3 linked regions of the Neodiprion lecontei genome follow. The protein of the gene in region 2 purifies or fractionates together with the protein of the main gene of each other region. This does not show direct contact. Links are inferred from orthologs where the notes say so. Each region holds a gene or a part of one and is shown on either strand. Other genes may lie near its edges.

Region 1 (5,188 bases), on a different chromosome or scaffold from region 2:
CTTCAATTATTAATTAACAATTGAACCGACTCGCTCCGGAACGATGAACCACGCCTTCTAGACCAAAAACGCTATTGTCAACACTTGATACACATTTATTACATCATTTTCACCAATACATAGTCTTGAAAGAGGAACACTAAATAAGCTATTAAGATATTGATAATATTATAAATAATAAAACAGGTTATTGTTAAACTTGTCTGGTTCCTTCTTCCTTCAAGATGTTGACCGGCTCCTTTCTGTACGTACGAAATATTCAACTCTTCTATTATTTCAATTCCTCTAACTCAATCCTCGGTGTATCTGTAATATACATACATACATTCACACATACCTGCTTCGTTAGTTGAAATTAGCCTGGGTGAACCAAACCGGTAGAGATCCTTGAAAGATCGTGCTATTAATATACATGATCAAACGACGAAGTGGAACAAATTTGAAAATATTAAACAAGTAAAAATAAATCCACTCAACTCTGTTACTATAATACTTGAGTGGGCTAATTGACGCGTTGAATCGATTAAATTTGATTAATGCATATTCGCATGGAATACGTTAAAATAAAACGATCTAACGATAAATGTTCTATATGCGTAACTAGAATTCATTACAAATGACAGATTATTTGCTGCTTCAGTAATTCATCGACGATTTTGTGAAGGATGGGTGTTTACAGTTTGTACAAGATATGTAACATGTATCTAATAAATCCCAGCTGCGTTTAAACAAATTTTAAGGTAAGCAAATTTTCATACTTGTCATATATAACATATACATACATATAGGTATATTGCTATATACATATATGCGTAGAAATGTAGGGAATGCAATGAAATATACGAAGTTCTACTAAAAATTTTTAGTCATCACATTTTCAATTTGCTTCTTCGCGATGTTTTGTTCTACACATTTTTCTAGAACACCAACTAGCATGGAAGGCAATGACTGTATTGTATATCTTTCTACTTTTTTACGTTAGAGGAAAAATATAAGAATCAGATTACAATATGTTACCCAACTATTTCAAATAAAGACAGGTGAAATGTCAAAAATAATTGCTTCAGTGAGTTACTCCAATTACATCAGTGAGTTATTAATTTAATACTTACACTTTGCAAATAGGTCTTCATTATATCTACATTAAATATGTTTACAATCAATGGTATTTTAATAAATTAAAATTAGTTTCACCACCTGCTGTAACGAATTCGATATCTGGTCGATTCAAGAACACACACCAGTGATGCAAGACGAGAATTGAAATAACACGAAGTAAGGTTGTTTACACATCAAAGCGTGGTTGCTACAAATGTATACCAAATTCATTACAGTATGCAGGTCTACATGTTTCGAACTTTGGCAATAACCCAAGACGAAAATACATAAAACAGCATCCCCATGTTATCTAAAGTGTAGTAACTATCAAATGCGACAATAGGTATATAAATAAGTGATATAAATAAAAAGTATGGCAAAGTCGCATATTCAAGAACTCTGTGCAAGAATCAGATGTCCAAAAATAGGCAGTGCATTATAGAAATCTTCTTCAATTTCGTTTTACCTATATATACAAATCTAGGCGAGCTATGAAAAACCCTGATCATGCATCACGCAAATCGAGATATTATAGATGACCTCAACAATCGCAATCCCATATGTATTTCAATATTAAAACGGTGGAATGAAGGTACATTCGGCATATTAATTCCTAAACAAGCTAGTCAATGCGACGTTTAAGCTTGTATTAAATCGAACAGATAAATTGAAAGATAATTCTGTAGAAACCGCGGCAAACTATTTTGGCACGACCTACTTGTAAGCCTGCTGATTGTTGATTAGCGACTTAATTTAACTTCAATAAACGTAGATTTTATACTGGCGGAGAAGTTATTACGTTAAGTAATTATCATTAATGTTACTTGATCTGAAAGATGCGTGACACCGTGTTATATTGTACATTTAACCCTTAGACTTGAAGCTATAATATACTACGAAGCATGCCACTATTGTTAGTACGAGGGCAACAATTGCAAGGGCTATCCTTTGTTGAACAGCCCTGAAAATCATCCCCGATAGCAATCGAGATCCTCGTCCGAGCTCCGCATCAGTTTCTCGTAACTAAAAATACATATTTACGGTCAATAAATGCTGATAATTGTAGGAGGTTGGCACTTAATTATTCAGAAATCCAATATACCAACCCTTCCTCTAGTTCTTTGTATGGTTTCTCTCTGATCATGAAGATCTTTTAGAACCTGAGAACCAACCTCTTCACTTTCCAAAACCATGCGGTAACCGTTTTGCAAGTTTCTCCCTGTTCTTTCTATCCTATCAGAATTATCTAGTAATCTCTGTCTTTGATCTATTGTTATACTGGTATCCCACGATTCGTCTCTACCCCCCTCAGCTCCTCCATCGTCCTTAGGTCGTTTAGCGGACTGAAATTCTTGATTCAATCTCTTTAGTTCTGCTCTATGACTCTCTACGCGACCCCTAAGTCGATCGCGAGCTGTGCCACTCATTCCCCGTACCTCCAGCTCCATTTGCTCAAGCTAAGAAAAGGAGTCAAATAAAAAATGAGTTCAATTAAACAAGATTCTTGTTACGTTTTCACGTAGTTTGGGCATCGTCACCTGATAAAAACACGGTAAATATCTTCCTTACCAACTCTTGAGCCTCCTCAACTTGCCGGTCAACATCTTGAACGAGCGCCCTTTTTTCACCTGTGAATTAAATCATGGATGACGTATGCGTATCACCCGAGATGTGATTTGTATCGATTATCATTTGTCGCAAGACCGCTAGATAGCGACCGTTTGTCACGTCACAATCACCGTATTTATATAAACTCAACGTTAAAATAACGTGATTATTTCAAGGTACACAACGAAAATATCCTTACCGCTATTCACTATCGCGATCCTACTTATTTTAGCGGTGATATCAGCTGTCAAAACAGCGTATTGTTGCTCGTAGTTGTCAACGAGCGTCGCCATCTTTATTTTTAGTTCGAAAACTCGACACCCTCGAGATCGACTGCGGCGCTAACGACACCGTTAACGAATCGTCTACTGCGTAAAACGTCGCTTCCTTTTCCGGTTAGGTCCGACAAAGGTTTGTCCGTATTTTCATGTATTTATTAAATATCCAAGTTTGTTCGAATAATCGTGCGATTATGCGTGCACCCAGTGACTCCCGGATACCCTTTCATGTTTAATCATGTATATCGTCCACATATTTATTGCCACCTTTAAACGATCGTACTTTATTTTACAGAGCCAAAATGGTGCAGCGACTCACCTATAGACGACGGCTGTCGTATAATACGAAAAGTAACAGGAGACGTGTGTAAGTGTTTTCACATATCAAATTGCCTCAAAGCTATTATTCCCCTAAATATTCCCGCTTGAATAAGTACACATACGACGGTTAAACTCATCGTTAATATAAGATTTTCTCTTGTCCGTTTAAGTGAGGTTATGTTTTGGTTATCGCTACCCGTTTCTCTTGAGTCTATCCACGTGCGTACGACAGTTATTGTATCGACCTTAACACGGCTTTTTCTGTTGAATATTAAGGATGGGTTTTGTTGACTAAATTTACGCCAGACCTAGCAAATGATGTTTTCTATGGAACAATTTTACATCACCTATCATATCACTTGTGATTTATCGGCTTCTTTCTTACAGCGTTCGTACGCCTGGTGGTAAACTTGTTTACCAGTACCTGAAGAAACCTAAGAAGATCCCAAGATGTGGACAATGCAAAGATAAACTTAGGGGTATCCAGCCTGCCAGGCCAATGGAACGCTCACGTATGTGCAGGCGCAAAAAGACAGTAAAGCGTGTCTACGGCGGTGTCCTTTGCCACAAATGTGTCAAGGAAAGGTGCGTAGTCGTTAACAGACATGACCGAATTTAAAAAGACTCAATCGTACACATTATTAAGTATAAAAGATACTATAGTCAATCTTTCCAAACTCAATAAACTATCACCAATTTTAACTAATATCAAAGTCTATGCAGCCTTGATGCAAAAATGTCGCAGTCAGTGTAATTCTACATGTAACTTGAAAAAACTTTTTGATTTCATGTGAAAACAACTCCAAGAAATTTATTACTGCGATTCGTAGTAATTCAATTATCAAAATACATTTCTGGGCATCATTGTTGCGCAAAATCAAACTTTTTTGGACATTTGTATTTGGTAATGCATGTAGAATTGTGCTGATTATGGTATTTTCAAATCAGTGATGGCGTAATTTTGATAATAAGTCAAAATAAATGACGTTTTACACAGCTGATGAAAACTGACTATAACAACCTCTTAACCTAATGACTATTTGTCATTTGAAATATTCCACCAATATTATAGAAAATTCTATAATTACACACACGCTATATTATCTTGCGTAAAAATTTCACAATAAATTATTTTCATAATTTATAACCCTTATGGTCAAGTTTTATATCAAAGCTTGGTTCGGTATTGCAGTTACCTGCCTAACTATTGAAGTTAGGACATAATGTTTTTTACACATACTTGCCACTTCGGTTCATTATTTGTTGTTTACTCTTACTGAATATTACTCAATCTCAAATTCGTAGTACGGTGGTGATTGTATGTAATAAAATCATTAATAACATTTTAGTCTACATTTCTTTACTGTGTTTCAGAATTTATTTATTCAGATGATGTTTTTATCAACAGCGATTGATTTATTTTACTCTGTTCACTTGATCTCGCATAATTTCCGTAGTTCGATTCTAATCAGAATATAGGTTCATATTTTCACATTTTTGCTTGAATTGAAACATCGAAACGAAACGTAGAATCCCAAGTTGTAAATACTACTGCGTTTACTTTAATGTGGTGTTTTTTTGTTTTAGAATCGTTCGTGCGTTTTTAATCGAGGAACAGAAAATCGTCGTGAAGGTAATCAAAGCTCAACAGGCTTCCAGCAAGCCCAAGAAGACCGATAAATAAGCTGTTCATCTTTTATTAAACGAAAAATAAAATTAAAAAAAATCTACTGACGTGGTTTACTTTTTTGCCCTTTATAATTGTATGTACCACGGCGTTCCATACCGGTGGCATGCTACGTCGTAATTTGTAGTTACTTAAGGAGAGCTACTAATGAACATACACGCGAAGAGGGAGATGCAATCTCGAACCTTTTCACTAA
Region 2 (8,990 bases):
GATTAAGTTCAAGAAGGGTTAATTATGTAGGTAAATCAATTGGCGATCCTCCTCATCGCACCCCATCCTCATTGTACTTTGTTTAACTAGCGCTCATCTACAAGCGACGAAACTATCAAGGCGTTTATTTAAATCATGCAAATTGTTATTTCTATGGTAGAACCTAGCTTATCCGACATTCGATTATCCAAGGTTCCGCATTATCCAAGAGGCCCATCTCATCCGAGCACTCTGCATTCACCAATGTGTATATCTTCGGATAATACGGAGAACCTTGGATGAAACTGAACAATCCACTGTGCCTTATGTGTATGAAATAGTTTTGTGTCGCATCTTTATTTGAATACGGATAAACTTGTAAAAGTTTCTTGCGATTTGTGACATTGCGAGCAATAATCGCTGCAGTTCCGATTCTGGAAGCTAGGGTAAAACATCGTAATGGCATGGATTGTACATGTTTTCCGTATTATCAGAAATTTCACGCATCCGAGTTATGCTCTCCCCATATTACCTCGGATAAACCAGGTTCTATTGTATTTCTATCTTCTTTTTTCACATCAACTTCGATTTGCTATTATTTAATTTTTCTTCGCAACAGCATCGATAATGCGATTTAAAAGATATTTTCGACCGATCAATTATTGTATAAATTATGTGATTTACTGATATAGCGGATTATTTATAGGGTATCACGTATCTACAGTCGATTCAATAAGTTTTATGTATACACATATCCATTTTTGTTTGATACGTATAAAAAAAAGTATTCAACGCATCTCAAAGTGACGATGTTGTTCCAACGTGTGTGAATAATATAGTATGTAATTCAACAAAAAAAATTGTACATTGAAACGCAATTGAATAGATATTACTATACCTATTATGTGTACTTGTGAGCTATGTGGACTCCTGGAATCGAGCTTATATTTTGTATAATATAACAATGTGTAATAAAGAAGGTAATTAATTATATAATCATAATAATGCGTTTGAAAATATGTATCTGAGATACTAATGTAACCCACTGTATACATTTTTTCAAACAATTACTTCTATGATCATGTCATTACTTGTTTATACAGGTGACTTTCTTTTAGTTCAATTCAATAGTTTGTGTAGTCTGTGACTTTTAAGTTATAAGTAGAAATATGTTAATTAATATGTACATTTGATAATTACGTAATGTTGTAGCATTGCAGCGAATAAACTGTCATAAATGTTATGTGTCAATTATGCGACTTGCTGTTAGTATTCAACAGGTTTTCCGCGTATGGTGGAGTAAAACTTTCAGTGCAAGCACCATAAATTTTAAACAACAGAAGAACATCGAGCGGTCTGAAGTAATGTACGAAACCTTTTCAAATTAACGCGGACTTCCGGTTATACAAACTGGCGGGAGAGCAATTTAAAAAATTTTAATCACTAATTATTTTTAACAATCGCAACGAAACTCGATCAAATTTGATCAACGATTTCTTGGAATCGGTTCACATCTTGCGAGATTTATAAATTGGAATAATTTTCTATTGTTAGAATTTCGAACATTGATGACGGAAACTTATTAATTTGTAGAAATGAAGGAGGCGGCACTTTTGAATTGTTCATTATTTTCAACCTTTACAATTTTAACATTGTCATCCAGGTATTAAGAGCTAATTACTTAACCCCTTTTCCGCGGTATTCCGAGACTTGACTGAAGTCAGTCAACGTTCCAAATGATTGGTGCGACGATGATTTACATGGATTTACATTTAAATCATATCGATCAATTGATCATTTGCGATTTCGAGGCTGACAAAATTCTGTTTACAATCCAACCAATCCAACCAATCCAACTACAATATGACAACCCAACCTAACCTAATTTCAAACGTGCTCCACATGTTGTCACCGTTGTCGCAATTTGAAAAATAATAATAAACTTACATAGATTCAAAACTGAAATGGACGAAAGAAATGAGCCAATAGTGTGTGTTCCAGGTAAGGATGAATGAATTACGAAATCGATAAACATTTCCCAAGTTTTCTACGCAGAAATGTCCCAAATGAATTGGCCCGTCCTATCCTCAATTACGTTTTGTTTGTATGCAAATTAAAGGTGGTTAAGACTCATGATAAATTTTTATTGCAATCCAGGTCAGAGGCTCTGTTTGTCGGACAAAGTAAATGTTCCAGGACCGGGAACTTACGAGCAGCACGGATATATTTATTCAAAATTAGCAGGAGTGGTGAACTTGGTTAAAGATGAACACGTACGATAAGTTTTAAGATATTTCACGGTCGCTTGCCTTCAGATTAAACATCATTTCTCACTTTCTATTATCAATAGAAGAGCACAGTTGAGGTGCACGGCATAAGAGAACAAAGCATTGTCCCAGCTCCCGGAGACATTGTAACAGCCGAGGTAATGGTCGTTAATCAAAGGTTTTGCAAATGCGTTATAAAATGCATTGGGGATGTGGTTTTGACCAGACCTTACAGAGGCATTTTAAGAAAAGAAGACGTCAGGGCTACGGAAAAAGATAAGACTGAAATGTACAAATCTTTTAAACCAGGAGATATTATTCTGGCTAGAGTTGTATCCTTTTTCTTTGAAAATTTTTTTCTACCGTTCGTTATCAATACCGCAGTTTCATAGTTGGCTACTTTTCCCATGCAAAATTTAGTTACCTCTCACCGAAGTCCATACTTATCAACTTTCCACTGCCGAGAATGAATTGGGAGTCGTTATCGCCCACAGCGAAGAGGGTAAGCAGAATTATTTTTTTATAGCGGTAGAAAAATGTCAAAGAATATATACGCTATAAAATATTCAATAGCTCTCAGCTCTCAGTTTGAAGATATGTAAAACAAAAAATCAGCACAATACAGGTTTTCATCTTTGTGTCATAACCATTTACACTTCATTTATCAAAATGAAATCGTTTGGAAAAATTACCGCCTTAGACTCGAAATGGAAGTTTTATTGTACTTTTTAGGGTGAATTGAGATTAGTTGCTGTGAAAACAAAATATCACTATTTGGAAATTATGGATTTTGTTGAGTAAAGGGTTAATGTAGAAAATTCCTCGTTTTTTTTTTTATACAGGTGTATCTATGGTGCCTGTAAGTTGGACGGAAATGCAGTGCCCAGAGACCCTAAACAAAGAATTGCGCAAAGTAGCTAAAGTTGTACCGGAGCATATCGTTAATGAAAAATAAAATAAATGTAAATTGCATTCATAAACGGACTATTCATTTTGCCAATGTGCCACAATGAATAGCATAGTTGGATGATTGTGTAAACTGGGTTAAACATATAGAATCAATATTGTCTCAATTTCTATTGAAATGCTTATAAGGAACACTAATTTTTGTTGGAATGTCAAGTACTTTATATTTATATATATACATATATAAATACGTACTCATATATTTGGAGTAATTTTTTATGTACATACATTGTAGACAGCTTTTGCCTGTCGAGTTGCAATAATACTACAAATTACTTATCGTACATTAGAGAAAAAAAATTACACTTCACTAGGTCATTCACAAGGTCAATCTCAAACTTTACTCCTCAATCCATTGAGTAATTCAATTCTTTTGTTATTGCACATAAAATGCAGAGTTCACAGAAAAAATATCCTGGAAGACTCACTTGCTGCAATTTTTTTCCTCCCATAATTCAGTCTTGTTGTGTATTGCAATTTACAAAATCCACAAAGAATGACCTTCGTTTCTTTGTGTTAGATCCCCAACACGTTTAATTTTCGTTTATTCTTTTCAGTGACAGTCAACTCAAAATACTCTCAAGCATTCTGTAACGATACTAACATGTTCGATTTCTTTTCCCAACAAGGATACACTGATAAATCAAACCTGGCTACTATTTGAATGTGGTGAAAAAGACCAGTGAAATGCGATGGAAAGAGTTTCAGGCGAGAGAAATATCTATAATATATTTACAAATAATAGCATAAAATCTAATTATAAACGGAATAATTGGGCTGCACCGAATTGATTTACTTTACAGCCGCGTACAATGGTTTTCACAAATTTTTGAAAACTTCCAATGCGAGTGTGCTAATTGAAAAGAGTGTGAAATCGTATATACGATATTGTTTGTGAAGTTGCCATTTCGATTATCTGAAGCAAGGGGTGAACAAGAAATGTAATTTTACTTTCGATATCACGTGTGTTGAATATACCGTGCTGATTATTATATATTGTGAATATAAGCCTCTATATGTTAATTTTAAACTACGGCAACTGCAATTATGCTAATAAATAACAAGATGATAACAATCCAATAACCGCACGTTCGATCTTTACGATCAATTATACCGACTTGGCGAGTTCCATTGATTAATCGTTGATCGGTCCTCTCCATGTGATCGGCCAGATCATCGATTATTTCTAAAACAAACGGCGAAATGAACAAACTAGTGTGAAAAAATTCGCGCATAGGAATAATTAATTTTCCGATATCTATTACTGGATTGTTCAAACCCACAAATTGTGATGGTATACAATTTTCATTGCGAATATGCAACATAAAGATAGTGAATCAAAATACTCACCATTCTGATGATCGACTTCATTATTAATGGTGTTTGCGATATCCTTTTGTCGAGAAATAACTTTTGACAATGCTTCCAGACCTTCATCTTGTTCTAATAAAGATTTAAACATGAATAACTTCCGATCTAAGAATTCTGTTTTTCATTTATAATAGTTGACAGTCACATTTGTGACAGTAAAAACTACAGAATAAATCTTCGCCGAGCTTGATATAATACCTTGCAAAAGTCGTAACTTTTGAACTTTCAAATCTTCGACAGATACTTGAATGTCAATAGGCTGATCGTCATCTTCTTCTAGTCCCCAGCTGGTCGTTCCCATATCGGCAAAAGCTGAAGAATTGGGTTGCATGAGTCTGGCTCGATCAGAGGCGAGGCTACTGCTGCGTGCATTGTAGAGCTGCTGAAGCTGCACGTCTTTGCTTTGCAGCTGTTCGATCTGACGCCATCTTCGTTCAGCTTCTTCCCTAGTTCTGATTTGTAACTTAGCTCAGGAAGTTCATACGTTATAATGGAAGAATTGTCTTTACCATAGTTACGCAAATTAAGGGCAGGAGTACAATTTCCGCAGCGTGAAAATTTGATGGTAAATTTTGGGTTTTCGGGGAGAAATAATGCAAAGTTAAAAAGTGCTAAAAGTTGATATTTGATTATCTTATGAGATATCAAGGCCGAACTTACGCTAACCTTTGGACTACAACAGTAACCTTCGGCGTTTTTCGTACAGAGTGGTATGTTGTGGTTTTGCTTATTCCTCTTTAAAGAATCCGAAACGGCAGATATTATTTCTTAAAATTTCCCTTACATTGGTGAAAATATCACGAATCAATGGTCAAAAACTGCTGCGACGAATATCGTATTATCCTCAAATTCGTCAAGGATACATCGATCGCATTTTAAAGTCCTCGTCGACCTTACTTTTCAGTTGCTCTACCTCTCCGCTGTACTGCTTCATGCGCAGGCGAATATTAGCTGACAAACTGGCATAATTCTGAGACGTTCGTGATTCCCTGTTGCGAAGTGTCAACTGTTCCATAATCTCTCTGAACAGCTTATCACACGACTCATATTCGGTGAGCCTAGTATTTTTTGAGTAAACAAAGAATGTTACGAAAAAGGATTGAATATATTTTCAATTTTTTTTTTCTATCCGACTTTATCTGGTAAACTTTTGAAACCAATTATGCGATACGACATAACCTAGGTTATTCCTTGTCAGGCATTGAATGGCATTCAGCAACATTGTTTTAACGTGAAAGACATAAAAATTCAACGGGTGCTGAGATTGAGAGCTTGATTTTATTACTTATGAAAATATTTTTGAAATAATAACTTTATAACGTATGAATACTTACCACGGATCACCGTCTTCGATGCGAACCAGCGCCATTTTTTATGAACTGTCACTTATGAACACACACACTAGCGCCATTTTTTATGCACTGTCACTTATGAACACACACACTAGCCCCCTGACACACGCTGCCGTTGACTGAAGACTATAAAGACAGTTACCCCTGGATAAATTTTTGTGTATCAGTTTTCAGCGGGCAAGTGGGCCCAGGTGGGCCTGGGAGCGTAGGAGGTTTCTGCTCTATCGACTCTACCGAACGGGCTTGTACCGACATTCGTGGCAGCTAAAGTAGTGTCTGACCTGCCTGGTTGGTGATCAGAGCCGAAGTGATAAGACTAGCCGCGCCCCCCCCCGCGCCGAGCTATTTTTCCCCCACCGCCGCGCCGCTGGCCTAGACGGCCTGCTGGTAGGACCCGACGCGCCTTCCGCGGTCGCTTTCCGAAGTTTTCTCTCTCGCTCGCTCCTACGCTCGCCCGCCCATCGGCCCCGGATCGGTCTTGCGACCTCCTCGTGCCGTTTAGGGTGACCTGCATGGGCTTGAGAAAAACGAATTTCCCGGGAGGTCTATAGCTTTCAGGAAGAAACTCCCCAAAGCTGAATTGGCGTTACGTACTCGATGACACATATCATGTGTTCGAGCACGTTCGTGGGCGAGCGTCGAACCGCGAGAGAGACGCGCAACCTTTTCGGTCGCTCGAATCCACTAATTTGGAAATGACTATCCGTCATTCTCGGAGCCAGAACTTGATTCTACTGGCTCTTGCGCAATCAGACATGTCGTCCTTTCGTCTCAACAATTGCCATTATTTTAATTTTCGTAAATTAACATGTACATCAGATGCTGATATAGTTTCCAATCACTATTCTATGCGATATTGTAACATTAATGCTTGCTCGTAATAGAGTCGTCGCCTATGATATTTCGTGTTCTATCGTGTTACGTTTCAACTTACAAACTTAACATAATAATCTTTCATCGTAACCAATTAAACTTATCGTAACATAAGCATAATTATCCAAACCAGCTTACTAGATCTCTACCCTTCCCTGCACCCTTGTATTGAAATACAACGAGCATGATAATAGCGCCTAAAGCGGCCAATCCTTGATTTATCGGTGACGACAATAAATTAATGACGACAATAAGAAATTAAACATTAAATTTTCTTCCAACTTAAACTTGAATCATTCTAACCGAGCGATCGAGATCAGCCCGAGAACAGCCGCATCTTCGCGTTTTCACCGTAGCAAAAATTTTATTTAGAAACGCGATAATTGCGGAGTAAATAAACAAAATCGAAAACTATCAGAAATTTTTTTTTTTTTTTTGTTCTCTACGTTTCTAACACCATATCTTCATCGACACAGTCATTATTTTATTCCAATAATACGGATATGCCTTTTCAATGTGACATAATTTTCTTAAAATCGCTTGCCCTCATTTCTCTGGATTCGACCACATTGTCTCGCAGAATTAAATACAATGAATTAATTTGAGACATGAAAAATTGTCATAATTATCGAAATGATTATATTTGTTACAATCATTATATAAAAACAACAGTTTCGATCCCTGGCTCCGTCGTTAATTTTTCAAATCACCAAAAATTTTCGAATTTACATTCTCTAGCATTTTTCTTCTCGCTAAAATAGACATGACGTATTTTCATATCACTTCATAGACGGCCGGGACCGTCTTACATGGCTTTTAACAAGTAGTGTCATACCCTTGTAAACATGTCACATACATACAAAGATCTATAATTGTGCTTTTTGAGAGGAATTTCATAATATATACTTATTATTAGTTCCTCATTCGATTGAATTGTATGATATAAAAGATAATGCAATAGACTGTGACGTAAATACTTGAAACTTATACTTGTGTTCACTGTTTAGTATATTGATGACGTACCTGTGTTGTAAGTTATTAGCTACTCGATTGCTCCCGAGCATTTCCATGGGACGCCACGAAGAGGCCTACTGACATTGCCGCCCATAGGTCGATCAGCTCGGTCATCCCCGTGAGGAGACGCGAAACCGCGAACTAAAAATGTCAATCAGCTCGATTAGTCCAGGAAACGGGTAGAAAAAAGGGCAGTTTTATGTCACGGCGTGCAGAAAGGATGAGACCTGCGGATTCTGGTAACGATTATAGCCCACATGAACGCCTACTACTTTCCAACCAAAGATTTGAGTTTCTAAATTTTTTACACGCGTTTAAAGTTTTGAAAAACAGGTTTTCTACTAGGATCTCCTAAACTATTAATTGTACAGAAAAAAAAGTTGCATAACTTTTTGTAGGTCTTAGAAAGACGAACAATTTCGTTGTTGGAAAATTAAAAAACCAGAGGTGCCAATAAAAAGAACTCGAGTGAACAGCTTAGAATACGTAGACTTGTAAATATTGATTGTAAAGACTTGTATGTTTAAGAAAACATTGTTAATATTTAAGTAAAAATGTCTGTAGCTATTATTTAGTACATTAAATATAAAAATATTGTAACATTCGTGAAATGAAGAAAAAAACGTGTCTGAATGTGTTTGATTTTTTTCCAACGTTTTTTATGTTTTATTCTGGTATTATTTGTAACGTATTCTCATAATAAATAAGCCATTGTAACTGATAAAAAAGTTTTATAATTATTTTAGACCTTATTTTGTCCTTATTTTATATTATGTCCCTTATTTTGTCGATTTTTTTCCAAAACGAAGAGACGCGTACTGCAATAACAATGTATTTTTAGCAGATCTTTTTTTTTGTGAGTTCTGTAATCAAAGCATATGACGTCAATATAATTTAACTCAGATGAAATAAAAAAATAAATAAACTAACTGTAAAAGAATAAAAAAAAAATTTACATAAACAAATTTCGAACGGAAGATCATTTTTTTAAATATTTTTTATAACAAATTCTTGATCAGCGGAGAAGTTAGTCGGGTTTTAAAAAAAAAAAGGACCCGATATGTTAATTTGTTCGGGAGATATTCAAAGTTCGTGGAATTTGAACGCGCGAATTCAGTTTGAGCGCGAGCGCGTGCCGGCCGAGATGGCTTCCCTCACTCCGCCGCCA
Region 3 (8,519 bases), about 1.5 Mb from region 2:
ACTGCACTATCGGCGGTGGACGAAACAACGGGCTTGCATGAATGTGACTAACGAGTTACAAGCGGCGCATGTGACTTTGCGAACTGGCTAGCGTAATTTTACGCGGCGCCGAGGGACTCCTCAAGTTTCGGTCGGCTTAATAGCACGCGCCTACAGTTACTGGCGGTGGGAAAAATGTAGATCTACACGAGTTTACGCCGCGGGCCGGCCTGAAAGACTCGCGGCACCGTTATCTCGATATATGCGCTATCTGACGCACTGCGCTTATTTACGGCGCTCCCTGTTCTTACCAAGAGCAAAACATCGCTGCGTGCTACATAACTTAACCGCAGACATAGACACGCGTTGCGAAGTATCTTCCAGAGGTGAAAATTTCGTGAAATCCAGACACGTGAGGGATATACCATTTTAAAAGAAATAGATCGGTGTTAATTTGAAAAAAAAAAAAATATATACAACCGAGTACCGTAATTTTTTTGATTGAGGCAAAAACCTGATGAAATGGATTAATGCAAGTTATATATTATCTGCGCGCATTAAATTATTTTATGGACGCTGGGTATAATGTATCGCATGAATGATTTTAAACTTCGTTGTGATGACTTTTGCTCTAGTTTTGCATGTAGAACTCTGCCTGGTCGTCGGTACAGGTCAAATTAAAAAACGTCTAGAACGCGCAGTATTCAGGATGGCATATATCGTGTTTCTTATCGAAGCGATCCACCAATAAAAACACATGATTCGTGACATTTTGTCAAGACGCAGCGATGCAAATATTTGCGTTTAGGCAGAAGTACAAATATTAATCCTTACTCTAATAGAAAGCCAAAACGACAAAACCCGCGACGTATGACTCAAAAGATATTTCTATCAATTTCTTAGCAGCTCACAAACTTGTCGAAATATTTAAAAATTATTGCTGACGTGAATAAATTATCGATCCAAGGTCTGCAAGGATTACAAGAACTAAAATCACTAGTTGAAATAAGGTAATGTTTCAAATTTCTAATTTTCCATCCTCCCATGATGCTTTGAACCGAAGTAACTTACCTATCTAATGGCTGAAAATGATGCTATATTCTAAGGATACAGTCAATCCAAGTTTATAACTTTCTACACCTACGTCGCTGCAAACATTGTACTGGAAATCGAGTTCAGCCCTCGACTTAACGTCCTCAAAACAACAAATGTATGCACGTTACTGCAGTTCATACATTCCTTAAAAACATTCCAGTATTTCTACAATATGAATGCAGTATTACGCAAAAAAAATTCTGTCAGAGCTGTATTAGAAATATTTTACACAATATTTAGAAATATTTCAGTTACATTTAAAATTGAATCATTAGTCAAAAACTTCTCTAATATTCCTGAAACATTTGATGTAGTTTGGGACAAAATTCAGTTGGGAAACTTGGAACTATTAGATCGACATTTCACTCTCTGATATATATTACTGTAAAAGTATCGAACTTCACAACTTATAAATATTGCACAGAGGATTTGAAGTGTATTTACGAGGGTCTGATTTCAGGAGTTTCTGTAAAATGATTGTGCTACAGTGTCAGAAAAAGCGTTCTGATTCCTTATAGAACTGATTAAATATTGTACAAAATTTTAATCCATTTATTTTTCGCCCTGAGCAGCCTTTCGCTAGGTCTGAAAGAATATTTATGTTTGCCTATAAAAAACATAGATATATACATATAGCAAACTACACGATTAGTCATCGTCGGTGATAACACCGAACCTTCCAATATATAACGTATTTCCAAATGTGCGTACCGTGGGACATTTAACACAGGGTGATTCCGCCTGTATGACAGAGCAACAGCTCGAGACTGAAGTTTAAGAATAAAGAGTACATCGAATTGCCTGTATGCAGGCGGATACGTCGCGTAATGCATGTACCCTTAATTGCCTATATGCGGGCGAAATCACCGTAACTGGTGAATGACGCGTCGATAGCGCGCACTCTTGTGGCCAGAAAACAAAGCGGGTGACGTGAGTTTTCCTCCTTGAATGCCTGCTGACAGTGCTTGGCATGCTTGGTGCTTTGTTCGTTTTGTAGGTGGATGAGTGTGTTTTGACTCATTTGAACTTTGACGTAAATTTTCGTCGTTATCGAGTGATTAACCATCACCGTAAACCGATGCAATCTATAACTCGCGGTCAGCAACAAGTGCGCACATTGTCTTTGGTGTGGTCATTTACGGAGTAGAGAGCTGCCAGGCGAGGAAATATCCTCGAGAATTTCCGCATTCACAAATTAAGGTAGGTCATTGCCACTGTCTCTGGTTAGACGTGCCAGCGACTTGTCACTAACTTTCACAGCAGGCAGAGTTGATATTGAACCTCTCTGAGAATTCCTCACTAACGATGCGAGTGAGTCAGAATTGCTGTGCGATTTTCGTGGCGACAATGAAGTTGACTATATTGTTTTCCCAGGCTGACCGATAGATCGGCGAGCCATGATTCAAGGAAATGAAAAGTACATCGGATTAATGCAGGTTAAGAATACCGATGTCTTATCCAATTGACGACAAGTTTTCTTATCAATTTACAGAGAAAGAATGCCTATTCTATACAGTGTCGTGGCACGTGGGCCAACCGTGCTCGCCAAGCATGCGGCGCGCACTGGAAACTTTGCCGAAGTGACCGAACGGATTTTGGCTAAAATACCACCGCACAATGACAAGCTAACTTATACCCAAGGGCCGTACCTCTTCCACTACATGTGCGATAACAGGATTGTATACATGTGCATCACGGATGACGTGCGTAATGAGTATTTCCAAGAACTTTGACATAGCGCCCAGTACCCACTACTTGTGACAAAAATAACTTTTACTAACACGAAATACGAGTCAATCGGGAAAGGGGTTTTATCCAAAGCTGCGCAATTGTTTAAAAATTTAGAAACAAAGAAACAAAGCTGGTATCACCTCTGTAATGTAATTCCTTGAGATCTGGGAATGTCAATTCTAGCTTTCTCTGCGTTTCTTTCAATTCTGTTTTTAATAACCGATTGTTACAAGTATAAATGAACCAGAATATATAAAACGTACCTAGAATATCATATATTTTGTTTCCACTTTTGTTTACATCAACAGATGACGTTTGCATATAGGTCATTCTCACTTAAGAGGTAAATTGCTTATTGATAAAACGCGGCACGGTAAAATTTTTGAAAATTTAATTAAATTTTATAATGTTTCGATCAAAACAATCATTCTAAACGTGTCTGCAAGGCAGTCAGTCAATTTATTAATTTTATCTTGTTTTATAAGAAACCAGGGGAGAGACTTGATATACAGAGTAGGATACTTTGTGAACAGGGAAAGGATTTTAATGTTATTTTATGAAAGAAAACAACTTTTCTTTTGAGTATTAACTTTATTCTGTATAAAAAATTCAGTATAAAAAATTATAGTTTGAAGTTTTCATATCCCCCCTGGATATCGTGTCTTTCCCCTGGCCCTTAACAAGACAGGGGAGATATAAACAGGGGAGATATAAACAAGGGAGATACTTTTTAGTAACAAAAACAGAAATAATGACAAATGTATTTATTGTACGCGATTAACCAAGAAAACTTAGAATCTATACACTACAAGAAGTGAATATACAAATGAATTAAAATTTTTAGACGAATATTTTTAAAATAAAACTTACCAGTGCAGAGACTCCATTCACTCGTTCTCAACTGTATCCACAGAGTGTCAGTAATGAAATAAATGACAAAATGACTGCGCACCTAGTTCGAGTGGCGCTGATTACAAACTATAAACTCAACGACGTTCGTTCAAGGTCTTCAATTGCCGCAAGTCGGTAAACAAATGCCGATTTTACAGAAAAATAAGAATGACTGAGAATGACCCATATGTATCAGCTCATGGCCACGTTATATGTTCTCAGGCTATATGTAATCACAAAATAATTTACTTGAAGTTTTGCTCTGTGCACACCGGTTTTCTCTAAAATTAGTTCAACTACATAGATACGTAACTGAACTTAGAAGAAAAGTTTGCCAAAAAACTTTTATAGTGTAAGTTGCATGAATATTTGGTCAAATGAGAACGTTTCGTACTTTGATATGGACAAAGTTAAATATGCGAGGATGCACCTAAAATTAGTTGCTTCATCTCTTCTGGAATCTTAAAAAATGACACAGAAAAAGAAGAGTAAATTACAAGGTGGGTGGGGGCAAAAATGTAGAGCAATCAGCAAATCAAAAGTCTTCAATATCAAATTTTCAGAGTCAAAAATCTGTTTCGCTTGGACTGATAATATTCGATACATTTCTCAAAATGGTTTTTAATACTCTTGAAGAAAACTGTTTTTTAATCATTTTCCTTGGACAAACTATTACAAATTTCACAATTGTCGTCATAATAAAAGCAGTGAAACTTGATATTGCTCGTAATTTCATGGGTAATTATTTTATAAGCATCAGTTATCTACAATCAACAGATGGTATTGTCTGGATAATACGACATTTACCAATCTTAGTACAAATGCAAATGTTTCTGTTGATTAACTGATTGGTGACTTTGAATTTCAGGAATTTCAACGGTCGCGTGCCTTCTTATACTTGAATGAAATTAAGAGACGATTTGAAGCAGCTTATGGACATGGAGCTCAAACTGCTCTAGCCTATGCAATGAACTCTGAGTTTTCGAGGGTGCTGGCCAATGAAATGGTAAGTTATAAGTTTTCGAGTCCCGTGGAGAAAATTTTTGAGATCACAGCAGCGATTCAGCTTCTCTGAAAGATTGTGGTTTTTATGCACATACCAATAACTATGACAAAATTTCGGTGCAAAAATTGAAAGAACTTTGTTTCTTACTGTCAATTGAAAAAGGTGTAGAAAAAAACAGAAAACACTAAGTTTGACATCAATAAATCTTAGTTCTCAACTTGTTATAAATTTTTTAGTGAATATGCTACTTTTTTAAAATCTACTTTCATTACCTGCGACAACGCTCATTAAAACAGTTCATTTTCTTAACATTAAACAGAAACACTACAGCGAGTCCACAGATATCGATACACTATCCAAAGTGCATGGGGAACTTGATGAACTTAAAGACATTATGGTGAAGAATATCGATAACGTTGCGGCACGAGGGGAAAGACTAGAATTGCTCATAAACAAAACTGAGAATTTGACTGCTAGTGTAAGTTTCAATCCCTACTCTTATAAGTTATCTATAGGGCAATTCTTCTGGAAGGTATGATTAAAAAGCCGAGTTTCAACCGAATTTCATAACATGCAATATCTTGTTGCAGAAATGTCATTCTTGAGAAGTAATTGCCATTGAAAACTGAACTATCGACTTTGTTTAGTTTGATAGATTTATATATGCATATCATCTTCATCATTCCCACGAAAATCTTTAAAAAATCATACAAGAATTGGCAGCGCCACCAAGTAAACCATTACAGAAAATTTTTATTTTTTCAGTATTCTACAAATTGTTCCTCTCCATAGATAGTTTTTATTAAAAAAGTAAAATTTGCACTAATGACTAATTGACTAATCTTGCAGTCTGTGACGTTCAGGAAAACAAGCAGAAATCTGGCTCGTTCCCTTTTTTGGAAGAACATAAAGCTTTATGTGATAGTGGCTCTTGTTTTGATCGTACGTATAAATCTCAACAATTAGGCGTCTAATGTGTCACAAGGAATTCTACCAATCATACACATAAAAAGTATATTCTGCTCTTATTCAAACAGTTCATCATGCTTTACCCAAAACTTTACCTATGAGAAACCCTTGAGCTATGGATCGTTGGAGCCTTTGACTTAGGTCATATCCAAGGATCGTGAAGTTTTGCTTTGTTCATGAACCCACGTTACAAATTTTATATCTTGCAAAGTTACAAATGTTGATAAATAAAGTAAGAGAATTAAGAAATTCAGATTTACACTTAAAAGAACCAAAATTTTGCCTATCCATCGTTTGTTTCCTTCGTAAAATCAAACGTAAAATGTTTATCGAAAAGTAGAACAAAACTTTATCATCGGATACAAACTAAAATTTAACGCCGTAATTTTTCCCAAGTCGGAGGTATATTACTCTGCTTAAATAATTATGATAAATTTTAATAGATACAGTAAAATCAATTTTTTGATGCCGGGTCGTTATTTTTATGATTGATGAAATTCCCTGCATTTTATTTGAATTGAATGATTATAGCAGTATGTATTTATTATTTTTTTTATTCCAGGTTGTAATATACTTTGTTGTGGCAATGGCTTGTGGAGGTCTTGCATGGCAGAAGTGTGTCGGTAATTGAAGATATTTTAGACAATTCTAAATTTGGATTGTATGAAATCAGTGCCGGTATCCTTGACCAATGAATGAACATGTTAAGCGTTTTCGCAGACATTGGCCAAATTATTTAAGGTACTCAAACAATGAATCTGTTGCACTGTTTTTTGATGGAAATGTTTTCAAATCATGGCACACGGTAAGGTAGAAGGAAGGAGGAAGGATGGGAGGAGAGCGATATTTGGTATTGAACTAATTTATAAATTCAATCAATAAAAATACCTTTATATATTGTTTATCATCTTTATTTTTTTTATTTTTATTTGTTTTTTCTTCTATATCGTTATTGCATACTGTTAAGACGGATGCTGAATAATATCGTCGTAAAAGTTCAAAAGCATTACGTTTCGATCATTGGCCACAAGATTCTAGACTTATTGTGATATAACAACCATTTATTTTGTTTCTAAATAGTAAGAAATTTGAGTAACCGTGAATTTATCTCTTTCAACAATTGTTAATAGATAGTAAAGTGGAATAAAAAGTTGAACGGAAGAAATGAACTGGATACTTGTTCCCTTTTACAAAGTGGGGCAATAAAGGCATATTATCATGTAATGTACATACCTGTAGGTAATAACTGATTTTGTTAACTTCGAATTATTTTACTACTGTGATTATCATATCATAAGCATATATGCTCAAACATAAGTAACTACAGCCTGTATAAACATTATTTTAAGCTATATTTCACGTAGTACAGGGTGGTCGGTTTCAAATACCCCGTGCGAATATCTCGGAAAGGAAAAGAGATACAAAAAAAAGTTTCATACAAGACTTGTAGCGTTTCAAGAGATAAAGACGATGCTGATATAGGCCGGGATTTGAGGATTGTATCATTTTTTAGGTTTTGAAAATAACGTCTGATTTTGGTTAAGCAATAGGTATTTTGGATATAAGCAGCTGATACCAAGATCAAACACGAATTTAAGGACGCGAAATTTTTTTTGCCGTATTTTCTCCCTTTTTTCACCTCATCTTCCGTGCGTATTCATTGACCCTCAACCCTCACTGCAAAAACTGACCACCATGTGTACCCACCTAAATTATATTTGACTACTCCGCTGCATTATACTCTCAAATGAATCGTAATAAAAATATTATTCGTCATTACACAGAACTTGTCGTCGCTCTTTCGAACGTATAACTTTGGTTAACGAATCCCAAAATTGATCCCACATATACCGTCGTAATGATCAAAAGTTATTGAAATTTTCTGTGGAATTGTTGGGGACAAAAAATAGAAATGAAAAACAATAATTTGAAATGAATCAGTATTTCTCATATAAATAAATAAATACGTGCATACCTAAAACATCATCGCGGAGGAACTTACTATAAGTACGCTATAAAAAATTATCGCAATTTTTTGTTATAAACTCACACACAATGACATTATCTATCACTTCTGTTGAAACTAAGCCTATTGCCATGTTCCAGAAAACTGACATAAACGGTGAAAAAGGTAGCAGCCGTAATAGGCGATGAAAATTTCTCAATTACTTGCGAAGATTCAGTTAAAGAACGAAAAGAAATCGTGAGTAATAGTCCGGTCTTAGGTCATATTCTAATTTTGCTTCAGTCTGTTGGCTTCGAGATATTGGATTTTTCTGCCTGACATTGTTCCATATTGGTAAAGTTATAAACTTAGATCGAGTTATGTTGGAGATTAAATTTTGTCCAATACATGTTTCAATAAATAAATTTTAATTCTCTGTTATTATTGATACGACGGTGATTATTCTTATACGGTTACGGAACACGGCCCGATTGAATCCGTAAAAATCAATCGATTGTTTTTCGTTTTTTTTTTTTATTTTAAAGTGAGCATGTGAAATCAAAATTTCGTAAATTTCAGTATGTCGTCTTAATAGCGGAAAAGTTTCTTGATAATTTATAATTTCATTCAAAAAATTTATCAATTTCAGGTAAAAATACTCATTAATCTCTCACTTATTATATCAAGTAGGAACTCAGTAAATAAGACAATGATGATAATTGATACTTTAATCGCATAAATTGATATTGTATTGTATTGTATCAGAAATGGCTGGAGTACCACCTCACGGTGACATTCACCATCAACTTTCGGTATGCAACAATAACATAACAAGCAATTGGGATTGCAGAATTTTATATACCGTGATTACTTGAATTTGGCTCGTATTTTGCTTTTGTTGCA

The links. The genes of interacting proteins can lie anywhere in the genome.
Region 1: the proteins of syntaxin-8 (region 2) and vesicle transport through interaction with t-SNAREs homolog 1A purify together in Homo sapiens (affinity purification with mass spectrometry; 3 studies listed by BioGRID and IntAct, with this or other methods). This does not show direct contact. The link is inferred for Neodiprion lecontei from reciprocal best matches to the Homo sapiens genes STX8 and VTI1A.
Region 3: the proteins of syntaxin-8 (region 2) and vesicle-associated membrane protein 7 purify together in Homo sapiens (affinity purification with western blotting; 3 studies listed by BioGRID and IntAct, with this or other methods). This does not show direct contact. The link is inferred for Neodiprion lecontei from reciprocal best matches to the Homo sapiens genes STX8 and VAMP7.

Annotation. Positions count from the first base shown.
Region 1 is NC_060260.1:32,071,386-32,076,573, reverse strand, and holds vesicle transport through interaction with t-SNAREs homolog 1A, read right to left. Parts: upstream 3,034-5,188; 5' UTR 3,000-3,033; coding exon 2,906-2,999; intron 2,727-2,905; coding exon 2,668-2,726; intron 2,556-2,667; coding exon 2,205-2,555; intron 2,122-2,204; coding exon 1,963-2,121; 3' UTR 1,063-1,962; downstream 1-1,062. Other genes in the region: 60S ribosomal protein L34, read left to right, coding at 3,287-3,351, 3,693-3,890, 4,893-4,989. UniProt on the Homo sapiens protein: V-SNARE that mediates vesicle transport pathways through interactions with t-SNAREs on the target membrane. These interactions are proposed to mediate aspects of the specificity of vesicle trafficking and to promote fusion of the lipid bilayers.
Region 2 is NC_060263.1:20,664,634-20,673,623, reverse strand, and holds syntaxin-8, read right to left. Parts: upstream 6,244-8,990; 5' UTR 5,953-6,243; coding exon 5,918-5,952; intron 5,642-5,917; coding exon 5,447-5,641; intron 5,036-5,446; coding exon 4,782-5,035; intron 4,656-4,781; coding exon 4,563-4,655; intron 4,399-4,562; coding exon 4,238-4,398; 3' UTR 3,202-4,237; coding exon of another isoform or gene 3,089-3,201; 3' UTR 2,749-3,088; coding exon of another isoform or gene 2,667-2,748; 3' UTR 2,579-2,666; coding exon of another isoform or gene 2,330-2,578; 3' UTR 2,253-2,329; coding exon of another isoform or gene 2,137-2,252; 3' UTR 1,981-2,136; coding exon of another isoform or gene 1,944-1,980; 3' UTR 753-1,943; downstream 1-752. Other genes in the region: ABC transporter G family member 20, read left to right, coding at 1-22; exosome complex component CSL4, read left to right, coding at 1,944-1,980, 2,137-2,252, 2,330-2,578, 2,667-2,748, 3,089-3,201. UniProt on the Homo sapiens protein: Vesicle trafficking protein that functions in the early secretory pathway, possibly by mediating retrograde transport from cis-Golgi membranes to the ER.
Region 3 is NC_060263.1:22,132,211-22,140,729, forward strand, and holds vesicle-associated membrane protein 7, read left to right. Parts: upstream 1-2,003; 5' UTR 2,004-2,274; intron 2,275-2,448; 5' UTR 2,449-2,471; coding exon 2,472-2,491; intron 2,492-2,566; coding exon 2,567-2,777; intron 2,778-4,564; coding exon 4,565-4,702; intron 4,703-5,021; coding exon 5,022-5,180; intron 5,181-5,551; coding exon 5,552-5,644; intron 5,645-6,233; coding exon 6,234-6,302; 3' UTR 6,303-7,457; downstream 7,458-8,519. UniProt on the Homo sapiens protein: Involved in the targeting and/or fusion of transport vesicles to their target membrane during transport of proteins from the early endosome to the lysosome. Required for heterotypic fusion of late endosomes with lysosomes and homotypic lysosomal fusion.